Linked DNA regions of Macaca mulatta. The protein of the gene in region 2 interacts with the protein of the main gene of each other region in a pairwise test. Links are inferred from orthologs where the notes say so. Each region holds a gene or a part of one and is shown on either strand. Other genes may lie near its edges.

Region 1 (4,180 bases), on a different chromosome or scaffold from region 2:
AAGCATTTCTCTATATATCCAGCATCCAAACTTTAAAAATACATATGTGGATTCTGTCTGCACAACTGTATGTTCATTGTCAGTAAAAAATTCTAAATTATTCTTAGTTTTCATTTCCTCTTGCTCCAAAGGCAATACAATTTAAACACATCCAGTTTTTTAAAAATCACATTTGAATTGGATATCATAGAATTTTAGAGTTGAACAGCCTCTTAGAGGCAGTTTAATCTGAATCTTTTGGTTCTTCAAGTAAAGAAACTGGACTCAAAATTATACCTAAGATCACAAAGTACAGAGTGACAGAGGTGGGATTTCAACCCTAATTCCCTGACTCTTCAGTGCCCTTTTAACCAGGCTAAGCTGCAGCAGATTCTTCAGGCAACTTGAAATCAGAATTACACATGAGAGCTATTTGAAAAATTTCTATTTTGTCTACTACTTAGTGTGAGGAACCTTATTTTACTCCAAAACCCAAAGATTTTAAGAAAAGTTAAACATTTATTTTTCTACTATGGTAAATATTAATGGAAGTTGAGCTCTGAAAATACTAACTTATACACAATTCCAAATTATTGCTATTTTCCTCTTATCTTAAGAAGTTTAAATAAAATCATTCAAATTTCAGATGTTAAATTATTTTCTTCTACTTTATTAACATTGCAGTAAGGATCTTAGTGTAGGGTGAAAGCTTAAAGCTGGGAGTCAAGACACCTGAGTTTCTGTCTCATTTTTTATAATACTCTTAACTAGTTTACTGTCAAATCTCAAACTCTTTCTCATCTCCTGATTAAGGATCAGGAGACAGATCCCTACTGCCAGACATCTTATTTACATTGCTTCTAATTCTCACACCTTAGAAGATATGAATTATTCTACCTATTTTGCAGGAAACTGAAGCTCAGAGAGATTAAGGAAATTTTCCAAGAAACTGAGATGGTTAGTAGCTGAGCTAGAATTTAAAACCAGCTCTGCCTGACCCCAGCCAATGCCCATGTTCCTTGCATGACACCACTTTGCCCATATACTAATATAATGTGTGATCCTAGTATGGTTAGAACAAGAAGTACTACATTTGCAGGATTATTAGGGAGATTAAGGTGATAAAACAAACTAAAATACATGCTGAAAAAAATACTGTAACTCTTTAGTTATTAAATTGAGAATAAATTTTTAGTAAAAAATTTTAAAACTAGTTATGCTATAGATACTATTCTCATTACTGTCGTCAACACTGAAGTAAGCACTGTAGAATTACAAAACACATGAATCTTGCTTTTAGAGAGAACACTGCAAATTAAAGTGGAACCCCATCCCTATTTCAGTAGTTAAAAATAAAATTACTCTCAAAGTCCCATTAAATCACATAGGTAAGTATATTTATTAAAATGTGTGTGTGTGTGTATAAATAGAACAGAAGGAATCAAGAGAACTTCTTACTAGTTCCTGCCCTTTCAAATAGATTTAGAAAACAACAACATTCTCAGATATGCAAGAAAAGATGAGAGATGCTTAATACTGGACACCTATACAGCATATATTAATACAGTGTACTATCAACCATCTTCACCCCTACAGATAAAGATACTGTGCTTCTGACAAAGAAATGTTTCCCCAAGTTTTCCTGTCATGTCTTACATATTCAGCAAAGTTAGTATCAGTAAAATGTTTGGTAGACAGTGGACAACTTACTCCCTGAATGTGGTCACTGGCTCTTTTTGTAAAAAAAAAAAAAAAAAAAAAAAAAAAAGACCAGCAAATGTAGGGCCCATTAATAAACGTAGCCTAAAAGCAAAACCAGAATTGAAGTTTCAGGTTATCTTTCCTGTGTATCTTGCCCCACAACTGAAAATATCGAATTAGCTCAAAATGAAAAGTACTATGCACATTTGTCGTAAGTCCTCATACGTGACCTGATAACATGCGACAGCTTCTTTATATTAGAATCGTCAATACCTCTACGACTCTGGTTCTTTTCCCAACAATGGCCAAGGTGTTCATCTCTGTGTCTTCGGATAACGCCCACAAAGGTAATGACACTTTTGACCCTGTCAATTCACTCAGGGTTGCATCTACCTAGCTACAATTGCCCCCGCCCCCACTTCTCTTTTTACCTCCGTGAACAACCCCCGCTAATCCCCCATGGAACCACACAAACCGCCTACTGAAGAAGCGTTCTCCACCTGACCCATCTTCTGCATTAAACATTCATTCCGTCTCAGCTCATCCCGTCGATTTGCTCTTTCGTAAACCGCAAGACAAAGCTAGGACAAAGCTGCAAATTCAGGAAACCCGCAGAAAGAGAAAGAAAAAACAGAGGGAAGGGGGTGGGGGGCGGCGCGGGGTCTGCCTGTCAACTGGCTTTAGGGCGCTGGGAAAGGAGTGGGGCGGGCGCGTAGGACCGTCCTCCCGAGCAACGCCAACTCCCACCACAGCTCCCTCCCCTCACCTCGATCTCGCGGATGTTGTTGGAGGTGACAAAGATGCCAATGCCAATGGGAATGAAGATGAGGCCGATGATGAAGAAAATAGGTAGCACCGTGCCAGCCGTAAGGATGGGCTGCCAAGCTGGCAGCCGTTGCTGTTTGAAGGCCGTGTTATCCGGTCTCCGAGTCTTCGCGGTGCCCCCCGGAGCACAAGGGGGCCCACCGTCCACTTCATCCTTCGCGTTATAGTTCATCGCCATCGATCCCCGGGGCACCGCTCCGCCACTTGCAGGTGGACCACCCAGGGGGCCCGCCGGCTGACCCTGACAGGAACCGCTCGAGCTCCGCTGCCGCCGCCGCCGCCACCAGGGCCACCGCCACAGCCGCCTCCGCTGTGGAGCGGAAGAGGCGGGACACTCTTCCGCCAAAGGCCGCGGACAGGAAGCGTAAGTCGGCTGGAGACGCCAGAGGGAGGGAGAGAGGGAGGAGGGAGAAGAAGGAGGGACAAGGGGAGGGGAAAGGGGAGGAGGATAGAAGGGGGAAGGAAAAGGCGGACGCACCCTGATCATCTGTCCTGTGACGGACTCAGCCACCCGAGCGCGAAGCTACATTGGCGCATGCGCGGCCCTAGAGCTAGGGGATTCCGAGCCTGCGCTGTAGGCGTATATTTGCTCTGTTGGCCGTGGCTTTAGTTAGCACACACCTGCCTGCTACTCTGGTTATAGTGGCGACTGCAGGTCCGGATTGCCAGACAGGTTTTTCTTTTTACCTCGAGGGTTTCTCTGAAGGGAGTCGGAGCATTTAAAAGGCGGCCTCAAGGGGGATTGAGTCGGGGGAGAATTAGCAGTATTTGCTTAGGTTGTAAAACCGCGAGTTTAATTAAATAAATCGCTATTCAAGGTGCAATTATAAACTTGGAACACAGGTGCGTAACATGTACCCCTTTTGTCCTAAAGTCAAGAATCAATAATGTGACTTAGCCCTATTATCTTGCCTCTAATTAAGCGATTCTCACTTATTTTTTCTCTATTGCTGATTCTCACGTTACTTTTCCCCTTTTCTATGTCCACCTTTCTCTTTTGCGCATTGATATAGGAAGTGTTTTGTAATAGGCTGTAGCTTTTTCTCTTACTGTTGTAAAAACCAGGACATATAGCATTACTACAAAATAAGATACCCCGTAAACACTTTAAAAGTGCCAGATATTTAATGACCCAAGGAAATACTCGTGATGTAAAAGGTGACTAAGTCAGGATATTAGAGTAGTGTAGCGACTGTAGAAGTATAATATAGAGCGGAACTAAAAAGTGAATAATGGTAACTCTGTTGACCGGATGGAGGAATTTTTTTTTCCTGTTTCTTTGCACTTTTCTGTATTTTCCAAAATTTCTATAATAGGCGTATGTTATTTGTAAAATTTAAACAATTATATACAATCCACATTATACTGACATCTTTGAAGTCTAGGCCAGAGAGTAAGTCGCATCATTTGAAAATAAATTACTTTTAGGCTTAGTCTGCAGTAATGCCTTAAATAAGTTAAACTGAGGAAAGAGAAAATAAGGAGTGCTTGGTCCTCATAATTTACAGTTAGGCCGGGCACCGTGGGTCACGCCTGTAATCCCAACACTTTGGAAGGCCGAGGCGGGTGGATCACCTGAGGTCAGGAGTTCGAGACTAGCCTGGCCAACATGATGAAAGCCCGTCTTTACTAAAAATACAAAATTAGCCGAGTGTGGTGGCCGGGCCTGTAATCC
Region 2 (3,500 bases):
ACTCTGGAATTGGAAATCTTTTTTTGTTTTTGAGACGGAGTCTCGCTCTGTCACCCAGGCTGGAGTGCAGTGGCGCGATCTCGGCTCACTGCAAGCTCCGCCTCCCGGGTTCACGCCATTCTCCTGCCTCAGCCTCCTGAGTAGCTGGGACTACAGGCATCCACCACTATGCCCGGCTAATTTTTTTATTTTTTATTTTTAATAGAGACGGGGTTTCACTGTGATAGCCAGGATGGTCTCGATCTCCTGACCTTGTGATCCGCCCGCCTCGGCCTCCCCAAAGTGCTGGGATTACAGGCGTGAGCCATTGTGCCCGGCCTGGAATTGGAAGTCTTTATCTATGTCTAGAATCTTCTCTCTGTTCAAAGTGTAGGCAAGGAAAGGGGTAAGAATGTGAATAAAACTATGTGGTGTATGGAGAAAATATACACAAGCCGTGGCAGTGGGCAACTCACATCCACTTTCCAGATGTCCGTTGCCTTATCTAAAAAGGAATCTATCTGGCCTGGAGGACGTCTAAGGTCATTCCCAAAGATAGTCTTTAAAAATTTTTTGTTTGAAGTCTTATAAGCAGGAAGGCTCCTATTCTTCCACTATGTCTAAAAGCTGCAGGGTGACCCTCCCACCCCTGCCCAGCCAACCTCTGCCAGTAGGCAAGAGATTTCTGAAAATTACAGTAGATCTCATGGAACCAGATAAATTGTTTTCATTCTCTCACATCTCACCCAGTGAGGTAGTAAGGCCATGTATGTGTCCCAGGAAATATTTGACTTTTTGCTTTAAAACTGGAATTTCCGTAGTGTAAACCTTTTCCTTGAGCCACTGCCTTCCTCCTCTATTGGTTTATTCAACAAATGCTTTTCAAGCTCCCACAACGGGCCAGGCCCCCAAGGGATTAAGCCATGAACAGGAAAGACAAGGTCCTTGCTGTCATGTAACATGTGAATATAGTTATAAATGGAGAAGGCAATGAGAGTGTCAAACACCTGATCACTAAAATTAAGTGTTTCTTCCTCAAGGAAGGAAGTGCTGACAGTTCCACCCGCTATGTATTTCTCAAACCCATACCCTATCAGCCCTTAAATGTTTCTTCCTTGAGGAAATGCCCCCCCCATTTATAACTATATTCACATGTTACATGACAGCAAAAAGCTTGTCTTTTGTGTTCATGGCTTAATCCTTTGGGGGCCTGGCCCATTGTGGGGACTTGAAAAGTATTTGCTGAAAAAATGAATGGAGGAGGAAGGTGGTGGCTTGGGGAAAGGTTTACACAGAGTAACCTTTTAAAGCTGAAAACTGCAGGATGCATAGGAGGTAGCCATGCCAAGGGGATGAGAATCAAAACCTAGGCACGATGGCTGAAGCTTGGGGAGTGGTGATAAAAGTAGGGGAATATGACCCAGGAGGGGTTGGCACAAGCAGAGCAGGGAGGAATTGTGGGCCAGGTTTATGATTTTTGTGCTTTACTGCAGAGGTCTTGGGAAGCCCTTGGAGGGTTATAAATAGGTGACATCACACTTTGGACCAACAATAATGGACAAGAGTAAGATCTAATAGGAGACTACTGAAATAATTTGGGGTGAAAGGGTAATAGTCTATTGGTAGCAGTGGCCGTAGAAATGGAAATAGATGAGTTTGAGAAATACATAGTGGATAGAACTGTCAGTACTTGGTGAAAGGCTAGACGTGGGCGTGGGTTAGCAGGTGATGTCAAGAATAATTCCTCGGGGCCTGCCTTTGTCCTAAGTGGGTAGCATTTGCTGAAAGAAACTCTAGAGAGGTACCCAGATTTCTGGGGTGGTGCTGGTGATAGAGGGTGGAATCATGAATTCAATTAGAAATGTCTCCCAGTTTCCTCAGACTTAATATGCCCAGTGAAGGTGATGAATAGGTAGCTAGAAAGATGTGTCTGGAATTCATAAAAGAGGTCTGGGCTGGGAATTTATGATGAAGAGTCGTCTGCTAAAAATAATTTTTAAATTCATGACAGTTATTGCTGTTTATGGAGAGAACATAAAGTTAGAAGACAAGAGAACTTGGGGGCAAGAGAACCTAGGGGCAAGAGAAACTAGGTTAAGCAAACCACCAAACTTATTAAAGGAAGTAAGGCCTGTTGATGGGTATCTAATTTTGGGATAAAAAAAGTTTTGTATAATTGTCTATTTGCTATCGCTTAAAATGATAAAATGACTTGATTGCGATGTTCGGAGTGGTGAGATCCTAGGGATGGAAAGAGGCTAAGTCTTGCCTGTGGGCACATCATCGTCAAGTTCACTGCTTTGACTAGAGAGTGTGGGCTGCAGAATAGAACACTGGCCTTTGAGTTGGGAGAACCTAGCTCCCACTGTGATCAGTGGTAGGCCTGTGAACACATTCTGGTCCCTCTTGGTACTTCAGCCATCCCATGAGCGGGGTACTAGAGCCATAGATCTGCCCAACACTTAGCTCATGGCAAAAACAAAATGAGAGACTAGATGGGAGAGCCTACGTCAAGAGTGAGCTCCAAGGAAAGTCAAGGCATTTATAGTTGCTCTTGCTATTTTTCTGGAAAAGGTACATTTACTGTAGAGGGTTTAACTTGGAAATATCTGACATAGTCCCTGGGCATGGATAATTTGTCTAATGCAGGTCTTGTGTGGAAAGTGTGTGTTTAAACAAATTTGAATAATACTTAAATGTTGGCAATTTCATGCAAAATTTGAATTTCTGGGAAAACTCTGAAGCTCTGAAATGTTTGACTTGATCTTTCCTTGTGTCCATGATAGAAGCTGAGAAGCTCTTTCTTCCAGTGTCTGTACTCCATCTGGCTTGCTGAACTTGCTGGCCTGTCCTTGTAGGCATTTGAGTATGAGACTCCTGGACTAATACAAAAAAGGACCACAGAGCTTCTCAAAATAATTCCTTATAACACAAAAATATTTGTAAGGCAGGAGGGTAGGAATTGATACTCCCATTTTATAGATGTCACAACGGAGGTCACACTGATTTGGTGACTTCGCTACTTTGTGGCTAACCTGGGACCACAGTCCATGTTATTTGCCTCCTTGGTCATTCATCATTCTTTCTGTCCCACCTCTCTGTTTCTGAAACAGTAGCCTCAAGGATCCCAGCAGAAGCCAAACTCCTGACTCTTGGGTTTTAAAAATATCTTATTAAAGGGAGATTGGTAATTTTAGGAAAGAAACACAGCCCCAGTGCTCAAACCTTGGGAGAAGAGCAACAACTGGTGTGAGAAAGCAGACGAGGTAGAAAGTGGGGTTTGACAGCTGGCCTTCCATCACCCAATAGGGATTGGTGGGGCTGTTGCAGGTGACACAGGTGGCATTGTACAGGAGAGATACCAGAAAGTACGTCAGGAAGCTGCCGAGGAGCACGACTCCGTGGAAAATGGTCTGTGGAGGGAAAGAAGCAAACACTGTTGAAGGTAAACTGAGATTAGGAGGCAGGGTAATCAAACTACTTGGTTAACTTTGTTTCAAACTATTTTTGAAATGCAACAC

The links.
Region 1: the proteins of ATP10B (region 2) and TMEM30A interact in a protein complementation assay, tested with the Homo sapiens proteins (2 studies listed by IntAct, with this or other methods). The link is inferred for Macaca mulatta from reciprocal best matches to the Homo sapiens genes ATP10B and TMEM30A.

Annotation. Positions count from the first base shown.
Region 1 is NC_133409.1:110,454,710-110,458,889, reverse strand, and holds the start of TMEM30A (cell cycle control protein 50A), read right to left. Parts: upstream 2,801-4,180; 5' UTR 2,684-2,800; coding exon 2,447-2,683; intron 1-2,446. UniProt on the Homo sapiens protein: Accessory component of a P4-ATPase flippase complex which catalyzes the hydrolysis of ATP coupled to the transport of aminophospholipids from the outer to the inner leaflet of various membranes and ensures the maintenance of asymmetric distribution of phospholipids.
Region 2 is NC_133411.1:169,432,896-169,436,395, forward strand, and holds part of ATP10B (phospholipid-transporting ATPase VB), read right to left. Parts: intron 3,393-3,500; coding exon 3,205-3,392; intron 1-3,204. UniProt on the Homo sapiens protein: Catalytic component of a P4-ATPase flippase complex, which catalyzes the hydrolysis of ATP coupled to the transport of glucosylceramide (GlcCer) from the outer to the inner leaflet of lysosome membranes.